Macaca fascicularis: one gene and its partner. The protein of the gene in region 1 interacts with the protein of each later gene in a biochemical or structural test. Links are inferred from orthologs where the notes say so. Each region holds a gene or a part of one and is shown in the gene's direction. Other genes may lie near its edges.

Region 1 (3,808 bases):
ACCTTTCCTGCTGCAATGCATAAAAAATGGGCTGCTAAGTGTGAAGCACTCAGAATGTTAAGTGCCTGCTGTAGATACTATTGCCATTGTTTGTTTGTTTGTTTTGACAGTCTTGCTCTGTCGCCCAGGCTGGAGTGCAGTGGTACGATCTCAGCTCACTGCAGCCTCCACCTCCCAGGTTCAAGCGATCCTCCTGCTTCAGTCTTCCAAATAGCTGGGATTACAGGCACGCACCACCACGCCTGGCTAATTTTTGTATTTTTAGTAGAGACCGGGTTTCACCATGTTGGCCAGGCTGGTCTCAAACTCCTGACCTCAGGTGATCCACTAGTCTCAGCCTCCCAAAGTGCTGGGATTACAGGCGTGAGCCACCGCACCCGGCCTACAATGGAACTTTTAAGGCTAGGCACAGCGGCTCACACCTTCGGGAGGCTAAGGCAGGAGGATCGCTTGAGCCCAGGAGTCGGAGGCTGCAATGAACTGATTGTACTACCGCACCCCAACCAGGGTGACAGAGCAAAACCCCATCTCAAAACAAAACAAAACAAGGACTGGACTTCCTGTCCGCTGCTCCTCCCCTGTGTCACATGGCCCCTGCCACCTGTCTGCTTGTGTTGTTGTTCCTGGGGCAGGGAGACCCATTGTTCAGAAATGGGCCACTCATCTTCTTTCCTCTCCACGCAGGAGCAGGAGTGCCTGGGGCCCTTGGAGGGGTCGGGGCTCTCGGTGGAGTAGGCATCCCAGGCGGTGTGGTGGGTGAGTTGAAACCCCAGGAGGGGCTGGCTGGGGAGAGAGGCTAATCAGTACTGAGTCCCTCCCTGAACTCGGTCTGTATTCCCAGGAGCCGGACCCGCCGCCGCAGCTGCTGCAGCCAAAGCTGCTGCCAAAGCCGCCCAGTTTGGTGAGCACTGGGTGGAGGTGGGAGCTGCTGCCAGACCCCCAGGCCCCCAGGGTATGGGAGGAGCCTCTGACCAGGCACTGTAGACTCAGACTTCCAGCCCCAGACACCTCCTGGCTCCACTGTGCCATCGAAGGCCGGGAGAGCTCAGGCTCCACCTGGGTCCCCAGAGGACACCTCCACCCTCCGCAGGCTGAGGCTTCAGTCCCACCTTTCTGACCGGCAGAGTCCAATGCTGAGCTCTCTCCACAGGCCTAGGGGGACCTGCTGGACTCGGAGTCGGAGGACTCGGAGTCGGAGGGCTTGGAGCCGTCCCAGGTGTTGGGGGCCTTGGAGGTAAGAGTTGTTCTGAATCAGTGAGTGCGTGGAGTGTGTGTGTGAGAGACAGAGATGGAGACAGAGACAGAGACTTTCTTTCCCAGCCCTGCCATATCTTTGCTCAAGACGTCCTCTCGGCCAGGTGCGGTGGCTCACACCTACAGTCCCAGCACTCTAGTAGGCCAAGGCGGGCGGATCACCTGAGGTCAGGAGTTTGAGACCAGCCTGTGTGACATGGTGAAACCTCATCTTTACCAAAAATACAAAAGTTAGCCGGGCGTGGTGGTGGGCGCCTGTATTCCCAGCTACTTGGGAGGCTGAGGCCAGAGGATCTCTTGAGCCCAGGAGGCGGAGGCTGCAGTGAGCTGAGATGGTACCACTGCATTCCAGCCTGTACAGCAAAAGTGAGACCCTGTTATAAAAAAAAAAAAAAAAAGAAAAAAGCAAAGAGGCCAGGTATGGTGGCTCATGCCTATAATCCCAGCACTTTGGGAGGCAGAGGTGGGTGGATCACCTGAGGTCAGGAGTTCGAGACCAGCCTGGCCAACATGGGCTCCAGCAACTCCACCAATGTCTCTACTAAAAATATAAAAATGAGCCGGGCATGGTGATGCATGCCTGTAATCCCAGCTACTCAGGAGCCTGAGACAGGAGAATCGCTTGAACCCAGGAGGCGGAGGTTGCAGTGAGCCGAGATCGTGCTGCTGCACTCCAGCCTGGGCAACAGAGCAAGACCTCATCTCAAAACAAAATAAAAACAAAAAATGTGGCAAATGGGAGCTGGGGCTATCCCTGGCTGCCAGGGTCCCAATCCTCTCCCTCTCCTCTCTCTTTCAACCCACATGACCACTGCGGTGGGAGTTGCCCATTCTCCAAGAAAGAAATCAAAGCTTGGAGAGAAATTGCTTTCCCTGGCCAAGAGCGGTGGCTCACACCTATAATCCCAGCACTTTGGGAGGCCAAGGCAGGTGGATCACGAGGTCAGGAGATCGAGACCATCCTGGGTAACTCGGTGAAACCCCGTCTCTACTAAAAATACAAAAAAATTAGCCGGGCACGGTGGCAGGCACCTGTAGTCCCAGCTACTCGGGAGGCTGAGGCAGGAGAATGGTGTAAACCTGGGAGGTGGAGCTTGTGGTGAGCTGAGATCCGGCCACTGCACTCCAGCCTGGGCGACAGAGCGAGACTCCGTCTCAAAAAACAAAAAAGAGAAAGAAATTGCTTTCCCTAAGTCTCCGCCATCGTGGCCGACTTTGCGTGGCCGTTTCCCCCTTTCTTGGGCTGTCATTGTGTCTCCCCCTCTAAACCGGCCTGCACAGCTCTTCCTGTGAGTTCCACAAGCCCACACACACAAGAGGAGCTTAACAATTAAGGACTTTTGGGGCCAGGCATGGTGGCTCATGCCTGTAATCCCAACACTTTGGGAGGCTTAGGTAGGTGGATTGCTTGAGGCCAGGAGTTTGAGACCAGCCTAGACAACATAGCAAGACCCTCCCCACCCCACCCCCAAGTCTACGAAATATTTAAAACTTAGCCGGGCGTGGTGTGTGCCTGTAGTTTCAGCTACTTGGGAGGCTGAGGCAGGAAGATCACTTGAACCTGGGAGTTCAGGGCTGCAGTGAGCTGTGATCGAGCCACTACATTCCAGCCTGGGCAACAGAGCAAGACCCTAGACAGATGAAGGAAAGATGGGGGGATAGCTACTGGGAGGATGAGTCCGTGGGCAGACGGTAAAGGGTGAGTAGGTCAGAAGACAGGGCCCAGCCAGGTGCGGTGGCTCACACCTGTAATCTCAGCATTTTGGGAGGCCAAGGCAGGTGGATCACCTGAGGTCAGGAGTTCAAGACCAGCCTGGCCAACATGGTGAAACCTGTCTCTACTAAAAATACAAAAATTAGCCAGGCACGGTGGTGGGTGCCTGTAATTCCAGCTACTTAGGAAGCAGAGGCAGGAGAATCGCTTGAACCTGGGAGGCTGAGGTTGCAGTGAGCCGAGATCACGCCACTGCACTCCAGCCTGGGCGACAGAGCGAGACTGCCTCAAAAAAAAAAAAAAAAAAGGAGACAGGGCCTGACAGGTGGCATTCCTGAGCTATCATGTGCCTCATCTCCCCAGGTGTGTCTCCAGCTGCAGCCGCCAAAGCAGCTAAATACGGTGAGTTCCCCTCTGAGGCCTTCCTGCCAGTGGCCTGCACCCCCTGCTATGCCCATCACCACCCTCCCCCAGCCCAGCTCAGGCCTCCCTCTGGCTCCCCCTACCCCTGAAGATCTTGTCTGGGACATCCCTTACCCCAGAACCCAGCAGGGATATCAGGGCCTCTTCCAGATGGGGGTGCTTGTCCTGACCCCACCTGCCTCTTCTCAGGTGCTGCTGGCCTTGGAGGTGTCCTAGGGGGTGCCGGGCAGTTCCCACTTGGAGGTAGGGGTGGCCAGCTCTGCTATGTAGTCCTCAGCTCTGTCCAGATCTAGAGAGGGCTGTCTGTCTAGCAGTGGGGACTCCCGGAGCCCATGTCCACACGAGGACAGGAGACTGGGACTGGAGAGGGTACTCTAGGACCACAGATGTACTGGGCAAAGGGGCAAGCTGTAAGGT
Region 2 (4,267 bases), on another chromosome or scaffold:
CTCAAAGGAAAATCCAGTTGTTCTCACTAGAAAGAAAAGGGAAATGGATGTGAGGCAGTCAAATCAGCAGAGTTCCACCACATCACCAAAATGCAGTGATTAAATACGGAGAGACAGAGACTAACAGAGGTATATGAATATTGAAGTATGTCTGGACAACAGCCCAATGATGAGACCAATAAAATGGTAACCAAAATCTGGTTTTGAGTAGTAGTGTTAAATCAGACCATTTAGTAACCATTTTTTTTTTTTGTTGCGAGGTTTCTAGCACTGCCCAAACCCTGAGTGGTATATGAATAACTGGTCCATTATGTATCTCTTTCCAGTCAACATAATTTATCCCCTCCCTACCTATATTCTCTTCTGACCACTCCTACTTCCTTCTCTTTACCAAAATCTGAACTCTAAGGCTGTTTCTTCAGCAACTCCCTTGTTTAGATTGGAAGATAAATCAAACAGCAAGCGATGTTTTACTGACTTTCAGTATTTAACAGAGATGATTTAATTTTTTTTTAAACCAAAGTCAAACCTCTTTATAAATAAGATGAAGGAGAAAGATGTCTTATAAAATGCATATGTGAAGATGCCTTCTGAGTGCTTTCTCGTGCAGACTTGTTCTAGTCTTTAGTAAATCTTCCTTATAGACACTGTGGAGATGAACGATTGCTCTCCACTTCCACTCAAAGTACAAATCAGGCCGGCATTTTGAAAAAGAGACAGGTTTATTCATTGCTGCAGCGTTAGCTGGCTTTGTTCCCTGTAAAATTTCACTTTTGGTTATTAAAATATTCACTGTAGGAAATAAATTTGTAACCCATTTCTCATATTACCTACACACAGAAAAACAAAATTTGATATCCTGGGGTTTATTTGCTGAGGGCGCTTCCCATAAAAGCAAGTGAGTGTGCGTTGGGAAATGTGTCTGGTTAACTCTTCTATGGATAAACTTTAGTCACAATCCTCCCCCGCCCCCCTCTCGCCCCCAGCACCCTCCCAACCTCCCGACTTCCCGCCTCTCAAGGGCTGGTGACCTAATAGCATTTTTCTTCGTGCATATTTTGGCGTCGCCCCATGGCCTGGCTGCCTTCGCCTGTCTGAGTTTTTTGAAATTCCTGCATGTTCGCCCCAGATTAAGCCAGTGTGTCTCAGGATGTGTGTTCCGTTTTGTTCTTTCCCCTTAACGCTCCCTGTGCAACGTGTCTGGGGGGAGGAGGGCAGGGAGGGGAGAAAGGGAGGGGCAGAGGCGAGGAGCTGTCCGCCTTGCACGTTTCCAATCGCATTACGTGAACAAATAGCTGAGGGGCGGCCGGGCCAGAACGGCTTGTGTAACTTTGCAAACGTGCCAGAAAGTTTAAAATCACTCCTCCTTCCTTCACTCCAGACACTGCCCGCTCTCCGGGACTGCCGCGCCGCTCCCCGTTGCCTTCCAGGACTGAGAAAGGGGAAAGGGAAGGGTGCCACGTCCGAGAGCAGCCGTCTTGACTGGGGAAGGGTCTGAATCCCACCCTTGGCATTGCTTGGTGGAGACTGAGATACCCGTGCTCCGCTCGGCTCCTTGGTTGAAGATTTCTCCCTCCCTCACGTGATTTGAGCCCTGTTTTTATTTTCTCTGAGCCACGTCCTCCTCGAGCGGGGTCAATCTGGCAAAAGGAGTGATGCGCTTCGCCTGGACAGTGTTCCTGCTCGGGCCTTTGCAGCTCTGCGCGCTCGTGCGCTGCGCCCCGCCCGCCGCCGGCCAACAGCAGCCCCCGCGCGAGCCGCCGGCGGCTCCGGGAGCCTGGCGCCAGCAGATCCAATGGGAGAACAACGGGCAGGTGTTCAGCTTGCTGAGCCTGGGCTCACAGTACCAGCCTCAGCGCCGCCGGGACCCGGGCGCCGCCGTCCCCGGTGCCGCCAGCGCCTCCGCCCAGCAGCCCCGCACTCCGATCCTGCTGATCCGCGACAACCGCACCGCCGCGGCGCGGGCGCGGACGGCCGGCTCATCTGGAGTCACCGCCGGCCGCCCCAGGCCCACCGCCCGCCACTGGTTCCAAGCTGGCTACTCGACATCTGGAGCCCGCGAAGCTGGCGCCCCGCGCGCGGAGAACCAGACCGCGCCGGGAGATGTCCCTGAGCTCAGTAACCTGCAGCTGCCCAGCCGCGTGGACGGCATGGTGGGCGACGACCCGTACAACCCCTACAAGTACTCTGACGACAACCCTTATTACAACTACTACGATACTTATGAAAGGCCCAGACCTGGGGGCAGGTACCGGCCCGGATACGGCACTGGCTACTTCCAGTACGGTAAGTACCCCCAAGTCCGCTGGAACCACCCGTGCACCTGGTCCCCAGCTATGTGGCTTCTCGACGTGGCTGCCTGGGCGCGGCGGGCCCCGGTCCTCGCAGATCCAATCCCTCCCCCAACGCGCCTGCAGTGGCAGCCCTGGAATCTAGTGCAAACCGCGCGTCTGGCCCCTCCTGCTTCCTTTTCACATTGCTTTGCAGCCCCGGGAGTCCCCAGTTCTCTTGCTGCCCCCTGCTCCACTCTGCAGTCCCGGTGGGAGAAGGGTGAGGAGTAAGGGACCTAGAGGGGTAGGGAGTTGGAGCGGGGGGCGCCGGGTTGTTTCACTGCTGCGCCCGTCGCCTGCTGACGTTTAGGTCTCCCAGACCTGGTGGCCGACCCCTACTACATCCAGGCGTCCACGTACGTGCAGAAGATGTCCATGTACAACCTGAGATGCGCCGCGGAGGAAAACTGCCTGGCCAGGTACGGGCTGAGATGTCTGAGGCCCCGCTCCCCGGTCTTCCTTCAGGGGGCGCTCTGGTGCCTGCTTCTGACTGCTACTGTTCCGCGCAGACAAGTGTTAGGAAGTGGGACAAGAGCTGGGAAGTGGGACGTGACCTCCTGGGCATGCTGACCTGGACGGAGAGTTAATATTTTGAAGATTTCTGTGGGTTCTGTCTCAAACTGCAGCACGAATCAGAGAGGTGGCGCAAACCCTTATCCTGGAGACTGAAGTCTCATGCTCTTTTTCCAAGATACTTAAACTTGGGAGTCGATTGTTTCCAATCACTTTTCATAAAACAACTATACAGTAATTCAAAACATTGATTGTAATGAAGGGTGTGTTAATACCCCCTTAAAAGAATGGGGGCAAATTTGCCATCGTAGCCTCATTGGTAAAGACTAAGTTTTCCTCTTTTGTTTGAGACCACGATGAACTTGGTTGTTTCGGTATTACTTCAGCCAGAATAAGATCATGAGCAAGAGCTTTGTTCTTCCACTATTCTAAAATAAAATAGTAACTCTGAGATTGGGGTTCTCTGAGTTTACTGCTAGGAAACAGCAGAGGGAGCAAAATATGTTTTAATAAAAATTTAATCAAAAATGTAAAGTGTAAAATAAGGTCATCAATACCATCTGAACATATAGCCACACTAAATATATTAGTAGGAACACAGTAATGTTTATTTGTACATTTCTTCTACTTTGACCCTTTACAATTGTCAGGCTAAAGGAAGTGAAGACATCCAAGCTCATTTTCATTCCTGAGTCTTGCATCACTCACACCATTGAACTCCCTATGATGTTTTTACAGTACTGCCATTGTTTTGGGGTAGTGAAGTTACAAAATTATTAATTTAAATCTGGGTATGCTCTTCTAGAGTTATTTCCTCAGTTTGCAACTTATTAACTATTTTGAAAGTTTTGCTAAATTTGAAGTTCGTAATATCTGTGAATTATTTTTTATTGGGGGATTATTTCCACTTCAGTTTCACTCGTTCATATGATCAAACTTGAATTGATTCTAGACATAAAGTTTACTTCTGACATTTAGATTTTTAATGCTTATTTATTATGTTTTTACTGTTAAAATCTGTGGATTTCCATAGTTGTTATTCATTCACTTATTCACCAAATATTCATTGAGCTCTGACTGCTCCAAGACTGTTCTAGGAGCTTTTCAGCAATGAACCAAATAAACTAAATGCCCTGGCCTCTTGGAACTGATAGTCTAGCTGGGGAAGGAGGATTGTCACTACTATATAATGGAGGTTTTATTTGTAGTTTTGTCTTTAGTTAATATTCTATGAATATAATAATTTTTCTTTTTTCAAAATCACAGTACGGCATACAGGGCAGATGTCAGAGATTATGATCACAGGGTGCTGCTCAGATTTCCCCAAAGAGTGAAAAACCAAGGGACATCAGATTTCTTACCCAGCCGACCAAGATATTCCTGGGAATGGCACAGTTGTCACCAGTAAGTAAATGGGCCTCCTG

What was found.
Region 2: the proteins of ELN (region 1) and LOX form a complex in vitro, tested with the Homo sapiens proteins (2 studies listed by BioGRID and IntAct). The link is inferred for Macaca fascicularis from reciprocal best matches to the Homo sapiens genes ELN and LOX.

What each region holds. Positions count from the first base shown.
Region 1 is NC_088377.1:52,947,997-52,951,804, forward strand, and holds part of ELN (elastin), read left to right. Parts: intron 1-684; coding exon 685-756; intron 757-841; coding exon 842-901; intron 902-1,150; coding exon 1,151-1,234; intron 1,235-3,331; coding exon 3,332-3,370; intron 3,371-3,580; coding exon 3,581-3,634; intron 3,635-3,808. UniProt on the Homo sapiens protein: Major structural protein of tissues such as aorta and nuchal ligament, which must expand rapidly and recover completely.
Region 2 is NC_088380.1:128,681,655-128,685,921, reverse strand, and holds the start of LOX (protein-lysine 6-oxidase), read left to right. Parts: upstream 1-1,379; 5' UTR 1,380-1,655; coding exon 1,656-2,286; intron 2,287-2,640; coding exon 2,641-2,749; intron 2,750-4,109; coding exon 4,110-4,247; intron 4,248-4,267. UniProt on the Homo sapiens protein: Responsible for the post-translational oxidative deamination of peptidyl lysine residues in precursors to fibrous collagen and elastin. Regulator of Ras expression. May play a role in tumor suppression. Plays a role in the aortic wall architecture.